Coturnix japonica: one gene and its partner. The protein of the gene in region 1 purifies or fractionates together with the protein of each later gene. This does not show direct contact. Links are inferred from orthologs where the notes say so. Each region holds a gene or a part of one and is shown in the gene's direction. Other genes may lie near its edges.

The links. Proteins that work in one complex are often made in the same cells at the same time.
Region 2: the proteins of PARP1 (region 1) and XPC purify together in Homo sapiens (affinity purification with mass spectrometry; 4 studies listed by BioGRID and IntAct, counting the BioPlex papers as one, with this or other methods). This does not show direct contact. The link is inferred for Coturnix japonica from reciprocal best matches to the Homo sapiens genes PARP1 and XPC.

What each region holds. Positions count from the first base shown.
Region 1 is NC_029518.1:14,828,447-14,835,557, forward strand, and holds part of PARP1 (poly [ADP-ribose] polymerase 1), read left to right. Parts: intron 1-445; coding exon 446-641; intron 642-1,816; coding exon 1,817-1,945; intron 1,946-2,944; coding exon 2,945-3,028; intron 3,029-3,242; coding exon 3,243-3,365; intron 3,366-3,749; coding exon 3,750-3,878; intron 3,879-4,441; coding exon 4,442-4,540; intron 4,541-5,020; coding exon 5,021-5,173; intron 5,174-5,470; coding exon 5,471-5,598; intron 5,599-5,967; coding exon 5,968-6,029; intron 6,030-7,086; coding exon 7,087-7,111. UniProt on the Homo sapiens protein: Poly-ADP-ribosyltransferase that mediates poly-ADP-ribosylation of proteins and plays a key role in DNA repair.
Region 2 is NC_029527.1:8,364,072-8,371,809, reverse strand, and holds the start of XPC (DNA repair protein complementing XP-C cells), read left to right. Parts: upstream 1-3,132; 5' UTR 3,133-3,156; coding exon 3,157-3,271; intron 3,272-3,470; coding exon 3,471-3,669; intron 3,670-4,546; coding exon 4,547-4,680; intron 4,681-4,958; coding exon 4,959-5,082; intron 5,083-5,176; coding exon 5,177-5,261; intron 5,262-5,753; coding exon 5,754-5,911; intron 5,912-6,099; coding exon 6,100-6,220; intron 6,221-7,584; coding exon 7,585-7,674; intron 7,675-7,738. Other genes in the region: U6 snRNA-associated Sm-like protein LSm3, read right to left, coding at 1,216-1,296, 1,607-1,702, 2,659-2,769, 3,059-3,079. UniProt on the Homo sapiens protein: Involved in global genome nucleotide excision repair (GG-NER) by acting as damage sensing and DNA-binding factor component of the XPC complex. Has only a low DNA repair activity by itself which is stimulated by RAD23B and RAD23A.

The sequences.
Region 1 (7,111 bases):
GACAGCAGCCCATAAAAATACAGGAGATTTTTCTGTTTTAACATCCAGGAGCCCACTCATAAGGTCTGTGATGTCGGGAGTCTTCCCCATATTTGTTGTTTTTTTTTTCCCAAATACATGAACTGAAAAGTCTGAAGATGTGTGTTTGTAAAATATTGACTCAAGTGGTAATAGCCTCTTTTTTTCTTTCCCCTTTTCTCTCGTGCTGTGTGTGCAATCATCTTCAGAGCTGTACGTCTGGTGTGTTTACAGCAGGTGTTCTTTACACCTGTTATTGGACATAGATGCTGTGGTGGCTCTTCTGTTGCGTTCTTGCAGAATGTCTCCTTAAATTAACAACATGCAAATGGCTGATTCACAGTTGCAGAATCGGTTTCATTTGGGCTGAGGTCTATAGAGCCAGAACCTTTACATCTGCTTTTTTTTCTTGGGTTTCACTTCTTAGGTACTGGGTGTTCAGATCCTGGGGTCGTGTGGGCACTGTCATTGGGAGTAACAAGCTGGAGCAGATGCCATCAAAAGAAGATGCTGTTGAACATTTCCTAAATTTGTATGAAGAAAAAACTGGCAATTCTTGGCATTCAAAGAACTTCACCAAATATCCCAAAAAATTCTACCCACTGGAAATAGATTATGGACAGGTAACTGTTAAATGTCCCTATGCCAGGTAGAGCATTGCTCAGCTGCTTTCCTGTAACTCTTCTGTGCTCGTTGACACTTTAACAAACAAAGGGATGAAGTGCAGGGGTTTTGCTGCACAAATTATTATGGTAAGCACAGCAAGGAGACTGCAGGGGGGACAATTATTCTTGTTTACTCTGTGTAATCTTACAGAAGTTAATTTGAGATGAAGTAAGCAGTCATTTCACAAGCTCCCCATTTTGTTCTATTTAAAATTTCATCTATTTTCTGCATTCAAAATTCTCCCAAATGGTAAAATGAATCTTAATGCAGCCCAGTGCTCAGTGTGTATGTTGAGCAAGCTGATAAGGAGAAAATATTTGTTACCAGTAGGATTTGGCTATTTAGACAGCTATACTAAATAGGAATTCTATCCCTTCTACCCGGTGGGAGTTTATGTACTTGTATAAAGACATACCCATAACTTAGTCTATTTTTAGGTAACATAGCTGAATGCTGCTAATAGCTATAAAGACATCAGAGGTTTTGAAGCCATTGTATTTTTCTGTAGCCATGTTACTGGATGTCGTCTTTCAGTGTGAAGCAGTCCATGGTTAGCTTTCTTAATGGAAATTTGAATATTGCAGCAGGAAACTGTCTGTTATACTGCGGTGTGCAATGGCACTGAAGCATCTGGCAGATGCTTTGTGGATGAAACACTCTACCCAGGAAAACTCCTAGGAAGTATTGCTTCTAACTGATGATGCCTGTACACACTGATGGCCATTTTTATTATAAAATCATACCGAAACTAATTACTGTATCTCTATGTTGTTATAAAACAATGAAATAAGCATTCTTTTTTTTAGTGCTATGATCTCTGCAACTAAACCTTGCAGAACGAGTTAATACGGCTGCTTGAGTTAAAGCAGAGATGTACACAGTTCAATTCCCTTAATTCTACCTTTATTTTACAATGCCGCCTCTTGAAACACTTCTGCCCAATTACTGAACAGGCACATTTCTGAAGCCACTTTGCTCCACAAAGTCAGAGCAGCATCCAGCGCTTCCTATGAACTTCAGGCTAGTAATATTATGCATACATTAAATTGGTTTAAATTAGTTACCATGGCAGCCAGTCTGTCACCTTTTCCTTTGTGATTTTACTAATTCTGGTACTACATTTTCTTCCCAGGATGAAGAAGCTGTCAGGAAGCTGACAGTGAGTGCTGGGACTAAATCAAAGCTTGCTAAGCCAATCCAGGACCTTATTAAGATGATTTTTGATGTGGAGAGCATGAAGAAAGCCATGGTGGAATTTGAGGTGACTACACACGTGCATGTGTCTCGATTATTCTCTATATATCATACTTGCACATCCTGAAGTAAGTTCTTTGCAGTCCAGGGTATTGTACTTTGCAGAAGTCACTGCTGGTTTTAGATCAGTATTGAATAAGGGCAGGAGTCTGACCAGGGTTTGACAAGCAGTGGAAGTAATAACTTAGTTATGATGCACATGAGTGTGTTCTTTGTTCTACAGTAGGGAATGTCTGTATCACATCTCCTTGTGAACTAGGCCAACCTATAGATTTTATTTGTTGTTTTTTATATTTCTCATTTGTTCTAATGATACCCTCTTTTCATCCATTCTTCTTTCCTTCACACTACTACAGATCAGTCTGGTACTAGCTCTCCTTGCATTGAAGGAGCAGAGATCCTGCCAGTTGGTTGTTTTAAATAATATATGGAGATTTAGTGCAAATCTGAAACTCGTTCAAGATCCATGAATACAAAAGGAACAGCAAGAAATGAAATAAGTTAATAGATAAATGCGGGCAGTCAAAGCACCAATTCTGACTTAGTTGTTTCTCATTTTTTTTAGACAGGGATGTGAAGTATTAAGTATCTTGTAACCTCTGTGCATTTGACTATTGATTATTGTAGCATTAAAGCTGGGGGCTCGATGAGAGTGTGTGGGTTGTGTGTAGTTATACATAAGATCTTATGAGCAGGAATTCTTTCATATTGCTTCATTATTAGCCTGAAATGTATGCTTACCACAGTGATTCAGGAGCACCTCTGACAGTAGGTTAATGCTAAAATCCCTGTCAGACACCTAGTGTTTTGTGGTCTACTGTTGCTGCATTGGTTTGTTTATAGAACATCTTGTCTGTAGCAAGAGCTGTCTTTCTGATACTACTGCTTGATTAATACCAAGTCTGAAATGTTTCTTTTCTTTGTATGAACCAATCTGGAGAGATTTGTTCCCTGGAACAGTTTCAGTGTAGTGAAATCCTGTTTTAATTGTTCACAACTTTATCAGATTGACCTGCAGAAGATGCCACTGGGGAAACTGAGCAAGCGACAGATCCAAAGTGCATACTCCATCCTTAATGAGGTTCAGCAGGTGAGTGGGACAGAGATGTTCGAGCAAGTGGGGAATTCGGTTGTTGTGTGTTTTGGAATGGGGTGAATGGTGAGCTGTGTATGTTTGCTGGATTAGTGATTTCTATTGCTGCTTCTGTTTGTCTGTCCTCAAGTATCCTGTGTGCACCTGTTGCTGTGGAGCCATATTCTGGCCTATTCAGTAATTTTCTTTTGCTGCTTGTTGTCTTGTATAGGCAGTTTCTGACGGTGGTTCGGAATCCCAGATCCTGGACCTCTCAAACCGTTTCTATACGCTGATCCCTCATGACTTTGGGATGAAGAAACCACCTCTTCTCAGTAACTTAGAATACATCCAGGTAATTGCTAGAAATAGTGTGTTGTTTGCAGGCAACAGGCCTGATACCAGACACTAAATTCATGAATTGTGAGCAATTATTTCAATTCCCTGCTTTCATGAGGTTAAGCTTGTGGGTTTTTCAGGGTATCTGATTTTTTTTGTTTGTTTATATGTGTGTTTACATATGGAGATTATATATAAAGTTTCAGAAGATACATAAACATAGTTGTAACCTGTGTATATATATGCATGAACGTGTGTATTATATATAAACATATATTTCAAAGGCAGTGTTGTTAAATGCCAGTGCCTGTGCTTCACATATGTTTTTATAATTTGGAAATATTTTATAGTTATTCTGAACATCAGTGATGCGATAAAATAACTTATTTGAATTATTCAGGCTAAAGTGCAGATGTTGGACAACTTGCTTGATATTGAGGTTGCTTACAGTCTTCTCAGAGGTGGAAATGAAGATGGAGATAAAGACCCAATTGATATCAATTATGAAAAGCTCCGAACTGATATTAAGGTAAAAAAAAAAAAAGAGTGACTGACAAGGAATGTGTGCTGATGTCTTGTTGGAGTGTTAACAGATCAGCTAAGCTTAGAGTGGACACATGCATTGAAGAAGGTCCACCAAGATGGCTTTGGTGCTGGAGCATGTGTTGCACAAGGTGATGCTAAGAGACCTAGGGCTTTTTAATGAGGAGGAAAGAAGGCTTTGGGTGTATCTTACCAGTGTGTATAAATATTAGGTGGGGGAAGGGAATAGAGAATATCATGGCAGATTAGTTTTATTTTGGTAGTATATGCTGATAGAATGAAAAGCAATGGGAACAAATTGAAATGAGAGATTATAATTTTTTTTTCTGTGAAAGTTGCCCAGAGAAGCTCTGATGGGTTCTATCTTTGCAAAGCATGACTGGACTCAGAGCATAGCAATCTGCTACAGTTAACTTTGCTTTGAACAGGGCAATTGAAAGTCATGTAAGTTTCCAGAGGTGCCTTTCTGTTGCCACTGTCAGCAGTTCTCTAGTTGAGTATTTGTTGAAATTTGTATTCTAGAGGACCTTCTCATTTGCTTCTTTGCAGGTGGTTGACAAAGATTCAGAAGAAGCCAAGATTATTAAACAATATGTGAAAAATACTCATGCTGCTACTCACAATGCATATGACCTCAAAGTTGTGGAAGTAAGTATGGAATACTGGGGTTTAAGTTTGTGCAGATTAGCTTTATCAGCCTATTTACTTGCTTATGGCTTCACTATATTTTTGAGTACCTTATTCCCCTTGTTGAAGGCAGATTTTGATAGACCAGTTAGTATTTTATTAAATAGAAAAGTCTAGACAGAGATAAGACTAAGCTTTTTTTAAATTTCACCTTAATTTGCTGCCTAAAAAGTAGTTGTTTGAAATCAAGTTTTAGTTCCCTAGATGATTTTTCAGGAAGTGGTGGTCTCACAAAAATACAGAAGAGAGAGTAAAGGATTAATACAATCCTGTGTGATCAAGGCTACCTCTTTTGCGAGCATGACACAGCAGGCTGTGAGCACTGAAAAACAATTAGACCAATTTTCATAGCAGGTAGACCTATTTACCTGATTGTTTGCATGAAGATAATGGCTTATTTACTTAATAGTTCCTTTTCTTCTATCTCATTTCGAACTGAAGATCTTCAGGATTGAACGTGAAGGAGAGAGTCAGCGTTACAAGCCATTTAAGCAGCTTCATAATCGCCAGCTGCTGTGGCACGGCTCCCGCACCACCAACTTTGCTGGTATCCTGTCACAGGGTCTCCGGATAGCTCCCCCTGAAGCTCCTGTGGTATGTTCAACAGACAGATTCTCTGGCTGCCTCCATCCTTGTGCTCAGAAGTGGTCATGGTCAGAGGGAATCTGAATAGTAGGATTTCTCTTTGGGGAAGGACCCAGTGTTATCTCCGAGCACAAGGACAACATTCAGTGTCCAGAGTGGGTTGCTGTATAGTGTCTATGAGTGTGAGTTGCAGCTTTGCTTTCCTGAGAGCTCAGCCAAATGGATTCGGTATTGTCTCTATATTACCGATATTATTGCATGAATTTTTCAATCTCTTTTCCCACTTCACTCCTCCCCTTGCTGCAGACTGGCTACATGTTTGGGAAGGGCATCTACTTTGCAGACATGGTGTCCAAGAGTGCCAACTACTGTCATACATCTCAGGCTGATCCAATTGGGTTAATACTACTGGGAGAAGTTGCCCTTGGAAATATGTAAGTAGCTCATTAGGAGCATTTTCTAAACATGCTTAAGGGTATTATAATAGAAGCTTGTGTTAAAATTGAAAGCCTCTTCAGTGTTGAAAGAAGAGTGCTTTGTATTTCTTTAAAAACAGCATTGGTGTTTTTTTGACAAACTGTTGGGTGATGTAGAAAAATGCTGCAAGTCTAGAATCATGTTGTAGATGCCGGTATCAATAAAATTAGTCATTGAATTGAAGTATAAAGGCTGCTGAGCTTCAGAAAAATAGAATTTAAATTAACTCACCATATTTTGAAGCCTGAAAAAACATTGTGTTTTTTTTTACCAAGAAATTTTAAGATGAATATCAAACACTGTTGTGTATTCTTTGTGTTATCCAGGTATGAGCTGAAGAATGCTTCTCACATAACAAAATTGCCCAAGGGCAAACATAGTGTGAAAGGTAAGTTTTCTTTGGCAATGTGTTTTTGATGGCAGAGTCGCTTTATGTCCGTCTCTCTTCTCAGCGGAGAGACCTACAGTCTTTTCGTAGCTGTGTTTCCTTAAGAGTTTGCATAGTATGTAGCATTATAATTGCATCTGAATACATGTATATAGAGTGTTTTGAGATGAGAGTCAGTACACTTGAAAATGGAAAACTAAAGTTAATGGGCTGCCTGAAGTTCAGGAGGAGACTTTCATTTCATATTACGAGAACAACAAAGTAAGGTGTGTTCTCCACCATCTTACTCACTTTCAACAGCAATGCAGTATGAAGAAGCATTAGGCTTGATAGATCAGTGGAATAATTGTTTAGCTTTCAAAGCGTGTTGGAGATGTGTAAAGAAGGGAAAGGCTAAGGATGAAAGTTCAGATATAATTGCTGTTCTCATTACACTTCTAGCAGCAAAAAGTTAGAGTAAAATAGAAGTGAAAAAAAACCTTCATTCTCTAATTCAAGCACAAGAAATAGTAATCATGACTGTCTTTAAAGAGATAGGAAAGATTGATAGTGTTTGGTAATGAATGGCTTCTCTTGAATGCTCAATTTTGAGAGGCTTAATAAATGAGTTTTCTAAAATGTATTAAAACCCAATCTAGCATTTTTTTTTTCAGTGCATTCCAACTATTACAAATGTCAAATTTGGATTTGTATTGAAGAATTTAATGAATAGGAAGAATTTATTAAAACTTCCTGAAAATGTTACAATTTACACGTGTATGTGCTAAGATATGGGAGCAATAAGGATAGTCTGATCTGTCTAATTGTCTAATCTGTATGACAAAGCTAACAGCAAAAAGAGAAAATTCTCTTTTAATGTAGCAAAGTACAACTACTATAAACACAGTGGTGCTGAGATGAATAAACTGACAATGTCCTTTATGTTCTCTTAAAGGTATTTTTCCCTAGTCAGCATGTATATGGGATGTAATACGTGACTGGCTGAGTCTTTTTCTTTATGTGCAAAGTCTGATGTCTGCCTTCAAGATTTCTTAACTAATGTTTTTTCCTTTTCTAGGCTTGGGTAAAACTGCACCTGATCC
Region 2 (7,738 bases), on another chromosome or scaffold:
CTATCCCAATGCTAGAGAGCAGTTGTGAGAACAAAGGACACCTAGAGACCAGAGTTTGAAGGGTATCTATTTTATTGCCAAAACAAGTTATTACTTTTAAAAAAAAAAAAAAGTTACCACCTTGCATTTTTCACCCTTGCCACAAACTAGACATGGTAAGATAGGAAGATTTTAACTGGAGGACAGTGTCAAAGCAAGCTGCTTTTGATGACTGAATACGCGTAAGAACCCAGGCAAGTTCATAAAGCTGTGTGTTAAGGTATGTCAAGAAATGCCCAAGTCTATGTCTATAATATGCCTTTCAAATATACTCGTAAAACATTCCATAGCCATTCCAAGTAAAACATTCATTCCCCTTCCAGCCCCACCATGAGAATAAAGTGCAATCAGGAAGGCCTGAGAAACTATGTATTAAAAAAAGCAGTGTACAAGGCTCTTGTGCACCCACTGATAACCAGGAAGCATCTTTGGTTTTCTACAGAATTTAATGTGTTCAAGAACTGAAAATGGCTACAAATGGTGGCAAATGAATGCATAAATCAGGCTACTAAATTTGTTTCCTACTGATGGTATTGCTAAGCTTTGCTCTGCTAACAAAGCTGCAAGAGAAGCATCTGAAAAAGCTGTAAAAATTCTATTCTATCAATGCATTTTAAGCAGGACACAGAATTTCTCTCCTACAAGGATATGTTTACATAAAACCATAGATTAGTACACCATAGACCAACACAGTGTTGCCCTCCTCCAAAACATCAATCTGGAAAACTTCAGTATGGACAAAAATCAAAACACCAAACAAGTCACTGCTTTCTCAGGAAGCAAAGCCACATTATCACAACTTAATACAGCATTAGCACTAGAGAAGTTCATTAAAATCACCTTTTCAACAAAAACATAACACATCAAATCTGAAAGGTAAACCAAATTTATTTAAAACAAACAAAAAAAGACACTGCTATTCCCAAGATTGAAAAAACAGGGTGCTTTTACTTATGTCACACACAGCTCATTTACAGCAGTTACATTAATTCAGGGGAAAATGAGGTTTTCACACTGCTTCAGCTGACAGGTACTTTCTGCAAGAAAAACTCATTCCTCTTCCACAAAAAATAGGCAAAAACGTTCTATTAAAAAGTGTATGCAATTCTGAGACATGATCAAAACAAATCGTCCAAGAGCCTGAAACCTTCCAAGAAGGTTCAATCCTTGGTTGCTTCAGCCAACCCTCAGCGGGGGAGCTACAAGCACAACGCCGTCACCTCTGACAAAGAGCATCGGAATATTCCTTTTGGTAGACTATGAAGAAGCAAAGAAAAGATTACATTTACAAAAGAGAAGTATACAGAACACATCTACTAAGCATGTGACAAAATTCAATCCTAAAAAAACACCAACAAACATCAGCTCAAACATGCAACTTCGCGTCCTGCTGAAGATATCAAAATCAACAAGCACCTGGATGTCCTTTGTGCTTTCATAACAATTTGCCTAAAACACCTGCTAGATCCTAGTCCAAAAGGTGCAGTTATCAACACATTATTTTGACAACATGACAATCTAGATTGCAAGAAGTTTTCTATGGAGGTAAATACACTGAAGTCCTTACTTTATAAATCTCTTCGTATGTTTCTTCGTCAATCTCTATTGTTGTTACAGTTTCTTCCACATCGCCCAGAATCATATTTAAGTGCTGATCATATGCCTGTAGGAACAAAGTTCATTACTTCTTCCAAAATTCAAGCACAAGCTCATTAAATCCATAATTCTAGCAAGACACTCAAACAAAATTATTTTAACCTGATTTGGGTCAAGATGTTCCATGTGTGAACATGATGTATCAGCTGTAACTTCAACTATAAAGGCCAACATCAGTACTCCACAGCATAAGGAAGGCTCTTATACTCACTGAAACTCTCCTTCTGAAGCTCATGCACAAACTCTCAGAGGTGGACACACTTGTTCTTGTCGTTAGCATTAATCCAACTAAATATTATTTGCTATCAGCCCAGATTTCTGGGATTGGATTATCTATAGCTATGAGAGCTGTAACTCAAACAACAATACATAAATTTTAATTAAGCACTTGTTCCAAACACCCTACAAAGGGAACTTAGGAATTATACCAGTGCATCACAGATCTGTCCTCACCTTTTTGTTCTCAAATGTATTTGAGGCCCAGTTACCACATGGGAAACTGGTTCCCTTCCTCAGCACAGCACCACATTCCAGAAGGATAACACAACCAAACAGAAAACAAAAGTTTGTCTCACTAAGAGACATCGCTCTCAAAAGAAAACAAAGAACAAATCAAGTATGGAGAGAACCCAGCTGAGTACACATCCCAGCAGTCCTTGGGTTTGCTCTACAAGACAGTTGCTTGATATACTTATTTCCATCTTAACAGAGTCGAGAGTCCTTTATGAGATGATGCCTGCATTATTACTTAGTCCACAGACATGGGAATAAAAGCAAAAATCAAGAGAACGAATCACTTGGAATCATTTAAAAGACAACAGACACGGAAAAACAAAATGCACCTTTTGAATCTCTGGCAGAACACTGCACAAACCAAGCGCTGCTGTTGAGCACATTACAGTAACATAACAAATAGTTGCACATAACAGCACAGCCTGCTGCCTGCTTGGAATTGGCACTCACATGCAGCCTGCCTCTGAGCTCTCTGTCATTCCTCATCTTCACATAGATCCTCTCATCCAGACTGAGCCTGATGAGGTCGAGGGGCTCCTCGACGGTATTCGTTGTCTGTTGCTGAAAACAACACCGAAACAAGCAGTTATTCACGCAGGAGCAGTGAATACGAACTCCTCCACTCCTCAGTTTGCATTCTGAAACGCTCCCTCAAGTCCCAGTATCCACACAGAAGCAGACAGGCTGCATGGCTCAAACCAACACGGCAGCACGGCATATGGCAAAGGGAAGGCACACGGATGTGCCACCAACCCACCAGCTCTCTCTTCAGGCCCTCACCACCTCACTTGGCAGCCGGGGTGGCCGCAGAAACACCGCTCCCCCCTAAGAAAAGTAAAGAGCCATTCACCTGATCCACCTCGTCCGCCATCTTTCAAACCGCTTCTCGCTCTCTCTCGTGATACTTTATGGCCCGGCCTCTTCCCCCCGCTCTGAAGGGGCGGGGTAATGCTCGCCGCTATGGCGAGGAAGCGCAAAGCGTCGGTTCAGCGGGTGTCTGCCGGCAAAAGGCGGCCTGGAGGGGTGGGAGTACGGCGGGATGGTGCGGAGGAACGTGAGGAGGGTGAGTGTGGGAGGCTCGGCTTCTGGGGCTGCTCTGCTTTGAGGGAGGGAGGCAGTCAGCATGGAGCTCAGCAGCCCCCCATGATGGGCCGGGGCTGGAGTTGTTCAGTGCAGCTCTGCTGGAGCCTGCAGAGATATTGCTATGTATCCATAGGGATGAGGTTATATCCATGAAGAAAATTTCTTTCTTTTCGATGTAGGTGATTTTGTTGAAGAAAAACACAGTGTAAAGAAGAGCAGAGCCGGAGTTGCAGCTAGGAAGAAGGAGGAAGACAGTGATGCTGGAATTGCTAAGTTAGCAGAGAAGCCTTCAAAACAAAAAGGGGTAAAAGGGCGAGTGAAAGAAAATGAGAGAGACCCTGAAAATAAAGGGGATGATCACGAAGAGGAAAAGTGCAGGTAAGCTTAGCTGTTGTTCATCATGATGCGCTCTGTACCTCACTGTGGGTTGGATGTTGTGGTTGTTGTGGGTTGGATGTTGTGGTTGTTGTGGGTTGGATGTTGTGGTTGTTGTGTAGGGTCCATTGCCCTACAATGTTCACATAAAGGGGTTACGTTAAGCTGGCAGGCCAGTTTAGTTTGTCTGTGACACACAGCTGTACAGAAGTACTGCCTGGCTGATGGCAGGATCTGTCTGAGGAAGGCAGTCTGCATGGGAAGCAAATATCTGAGCCTTTTCAAATCAATATCGTAATTGTAAGATAGCGTTTCATTTATTTCTACACAAGACTAGGGAGGTTTTATGGCATCGAGCATGAACAGAAACATTGCTGTGAGATATATGGTCTTCCTGTAGAGATTTCAAGGGGGATTGTATTAATGAGAAGAATGAAGCTGCTTGGTCTCATTTCACTGGCCAACCAAATCATTGGGTGTTAGCGTAGTGAAACACAAGCACTTCCAATCCCAGTGCATTATGAGGTCTCAGTAAAGACAAATGATTCAATGAAGACATTCATACAAGCTGTTAGGAAAGATGGGTCATTGTTTTTAGGTTCAGTCATCTTCATTCAAACAACCTGTTAGAACCAGGACCTGTGTCTGCACTGAAACGTTGTTGTTCAACGAGCCTGTAATTATTCATGGCAAAGACTGCTCGCTTTACAGGCACACACACGGTTCAGTTGTCAAATACTTACAACCTTTACATCTGTTGTTACTGATGCAGAGATGATGCTTTGTTTATTTCCTCATTTTTGTTTTCATTCCCTTCCATTTTTAAATGAACAAACCCATGCACTTCCTGATGCTAAAACCATTCTTGTAATTTTAATAGTGACTCAGTGAAGGCCCCTCAGAAGGAGGTAAAGTTGAAGAGAGAATCTCCTATTAAAAAAGAGATGGATGAAGACAATACTGATGATGATGATGACGATGATGAAAGTGAAGATGAATGGGAGGACGTGGAAGGTAACAACTGCGTGTCTATTCTAGTTGTAAACATCCTTGTATGCAACAGGTCCTTTTTGAGCCATTCCTTGTTTTGTATACTTCTTATACTTAAGAGTATGCTTCATGTGCATATCTGGATTATAGGCTCTTATCTCGCAATACTTTGGAATAGTTCCAAAGTAGGAAAGAAACATACAACTGCTGTTTTGAAGGTAGTGCTTTGAATTTGACTATTTGTTGCTGTATTATTCATTGTTCATTCAATATCTAGTAACATTCTGTTTGTTTTTTCCCAGAACTCCAGGAGCCTCTTGTAGATAAGTTAGAAGAAGGTGCTGTTCTTCCTGAAGTTGTGCTGCCGAGCAATCCTGTTGAGATAGAGATTGAAACCCCGGAACAACTTATGAAGAGACAGAGAAGGTAAAAATGGAAGGTAGTAGAGAGCAGCTCAGGAATCTAGGAAGGCAGATAGACAGGAAGCCATAATATCCTTTTATTTTTTAATCTTATGCAGAGAGAAAAGGAAAGCTGAGTTTGAAACTTATGTTCGAAGAATGATTAAACGTTTCACTAAGGAAGTTCGTGAGGACACACATAAGGTACTGGTCAAAAAGAAAAGACTGTGCTTGAGATTTCTGAACTGATACGTAATGAAAAAGAAAGTAGGTTTTGAATAAAATAATTTGGGGCCGTGGCTAGAAGTGAAAAAATAACAATGTTGTATTCCTGACAGATGCTCATTGGCCTTCTCCTCATCTGTAACTTAGAAATGTCAGTCACTGAATTAGTAAACATTTAAATGAAAGCAGATTCAAGTAGGGTATATGTTTCTCTGTGGTGTGCATCTGCTTGTTCTACTTGGGTTAAACTGTCAGTCGGATGTAGAACAGGAGACACGGACAGGTACTGCAAGGCTTTACTGCCTTGGGACACCACTTAGTCCTGTGCCCACCCTTTTTGTGCTTGGGAGGTTTCATTGTTGCCTGTCTCTGCCAAAAGGAGCAGTAGAGGCATCCTGGTCATCACCATGGACAGTAGTTCCAGCAAAGAACATCTCTTGTGAACTCACTATAGAAACTTTTTTCTCTCAGGTTCATCTCTTGTGTTTATTAGCAAATGGTTTCTATAGGAACAGGATCTGCAGCCAGCCAGATCTTCATGCAATTGGTCTATCCATCATCCCCATACACTTCACAAAAGTTCCTGCAAGCCAAGTGGATCTTCTCTACATTTCCAACTTGGTGAAATGGTAATATACTATCTCCTAGTCTACTGTCACATAGAATATAGGGACAGGGGTACATGTAATTACATTTCTTCACTGATTGTTTTGAATTTAAACACAAGAGTGTTTTTTGTGAAGAAGGAAAGGATGAATTGTGAAGTTTAAGAGTATATTCATGACAGTAGACGATAAACAGGTATCTCACATTTCAGGTTTGTTGGAACCTTCACTGTCAATGATGAGCTTTCCACTGAAAAAGGAGAGCCCCTTCAGTCGACCCTGGAGAGGCGCTTTGCCATCTATGCTGCACGAGATGATGAAGAGTTGGTTCATGTAAGTGACTGGGAAGTGCAGGGTTGGTTGTTGAATTTGGATGCTGGATCCTTGCGAGCAAAGTGGTATTTAAGGGATTAATTTGGAGAAACAAGGCGATTCCTTGTTTTCTTCTTTTTTTTTGTATTTTTATATGGAATCCTGTGATTAAATTCTTTAGTTTGAACTGTATTAACTGAAACTTCTTGTTGGTACCACTGCATGGTTTATTTTGTTCTGTGGATGCCTTTGCATAGTGCATGGAACTACTTGTTTATAAGTATGCTGTGGCTTCCTCATATTGCTTTTTAGTCAAGGAAAAGCAGTTTATAGGTTTCTCCTGCAGTACTAATCTAAGTAAGAAAATTCTTGGATTTACTTGCAGCCAGAGAAACTCTTCACAGATCTTTGAGGTAGAAGGTTGGTAGCTGGTTATTATCAGAGTAACCACTGGATGCCAACAGAATTTAGTTTTGATTTAGTGCATCTTGAGGACAAGGTTTGGAAAGAAAACACTTAAGCTCTGCAGTCATTCTCTGGTGGAACTGGGTTAAGACAAGAAGTGGAGTCAGTTGTTTCAAGTTGTACAGAGATTTCGGTAAAGCAATCGAGGGAAGAAGAAACAGAGGAGATAAAACTGATAGGACATTTGAAAGAGCTGCTGCTTTGCAGGTGCATGGCTTACAGCTCTTCCCTGTTGCTGATATACTGGGATGTTGCAGCTTCTGTGCTGCAGAGCAGGAAGTGGTTCTTGTGATGTCTTTGCAACCGTGCTGTGTAAATACAAAAAGCAGCCTCCTGTGGCAGGAAGTAAAGACAATGCAAGCCTTGCTTTGGACACTTACTAATGGCAGCTTCTTTTAAGTCCCATGCAGGAAAGCAGGTGGCAGTTCACAGCTACTAGCCACTCAGTTGGGACTGTAATAAATAGCTGGTGTTTCTTCTGGGTTCAGTTGATGGTATGTAGTTGGCCTTAGCAACCTCTGGGAGGGAGGATTTAGAGAAATCTTATTCAGTTTGCTTCAAGAATGAGAGGAAGGTAGAGGATAAATGGGATCTGGGTGAGTCATTTAGACTCTTCAGGCTATGGATCTTCTATGAGTTAACAGCAGGACCTCTGTCACTGTTCTAATATGAGTAAGAACGAGGGAAGACAGTGCTTTGATGTAATAGCATCTGGGCTACACATCTGTGTCAGTGTCTACAGCACTGAGTAAAAGACAGGAATGAAAATGGTTTCTGACCGAACCCAGGATGTGAAAGAGTTTCAAGGGTTTTTTTTTGTTTTTTTTTTTTTTTTTCATACACCTTAAAAAACAAAAACAAACAAACAAAAGAACAACAAAAACCAAAACTTTGCACATGGTTTATTTTATCTTTTGCAGATATTTTTAATTATTCTCAGAGCTCTGCAGCTGCTGTGTCGCCTCGTGCTGTCCTTGCAGCCCATTCCTCTCAAGGAGACAAAGGCAAAGGTAGTTTTTGTTTGGTGTGTAAAATTCCCTAATTGGTTGCTCCCCAAAAGGAGTGAGAAAGCTT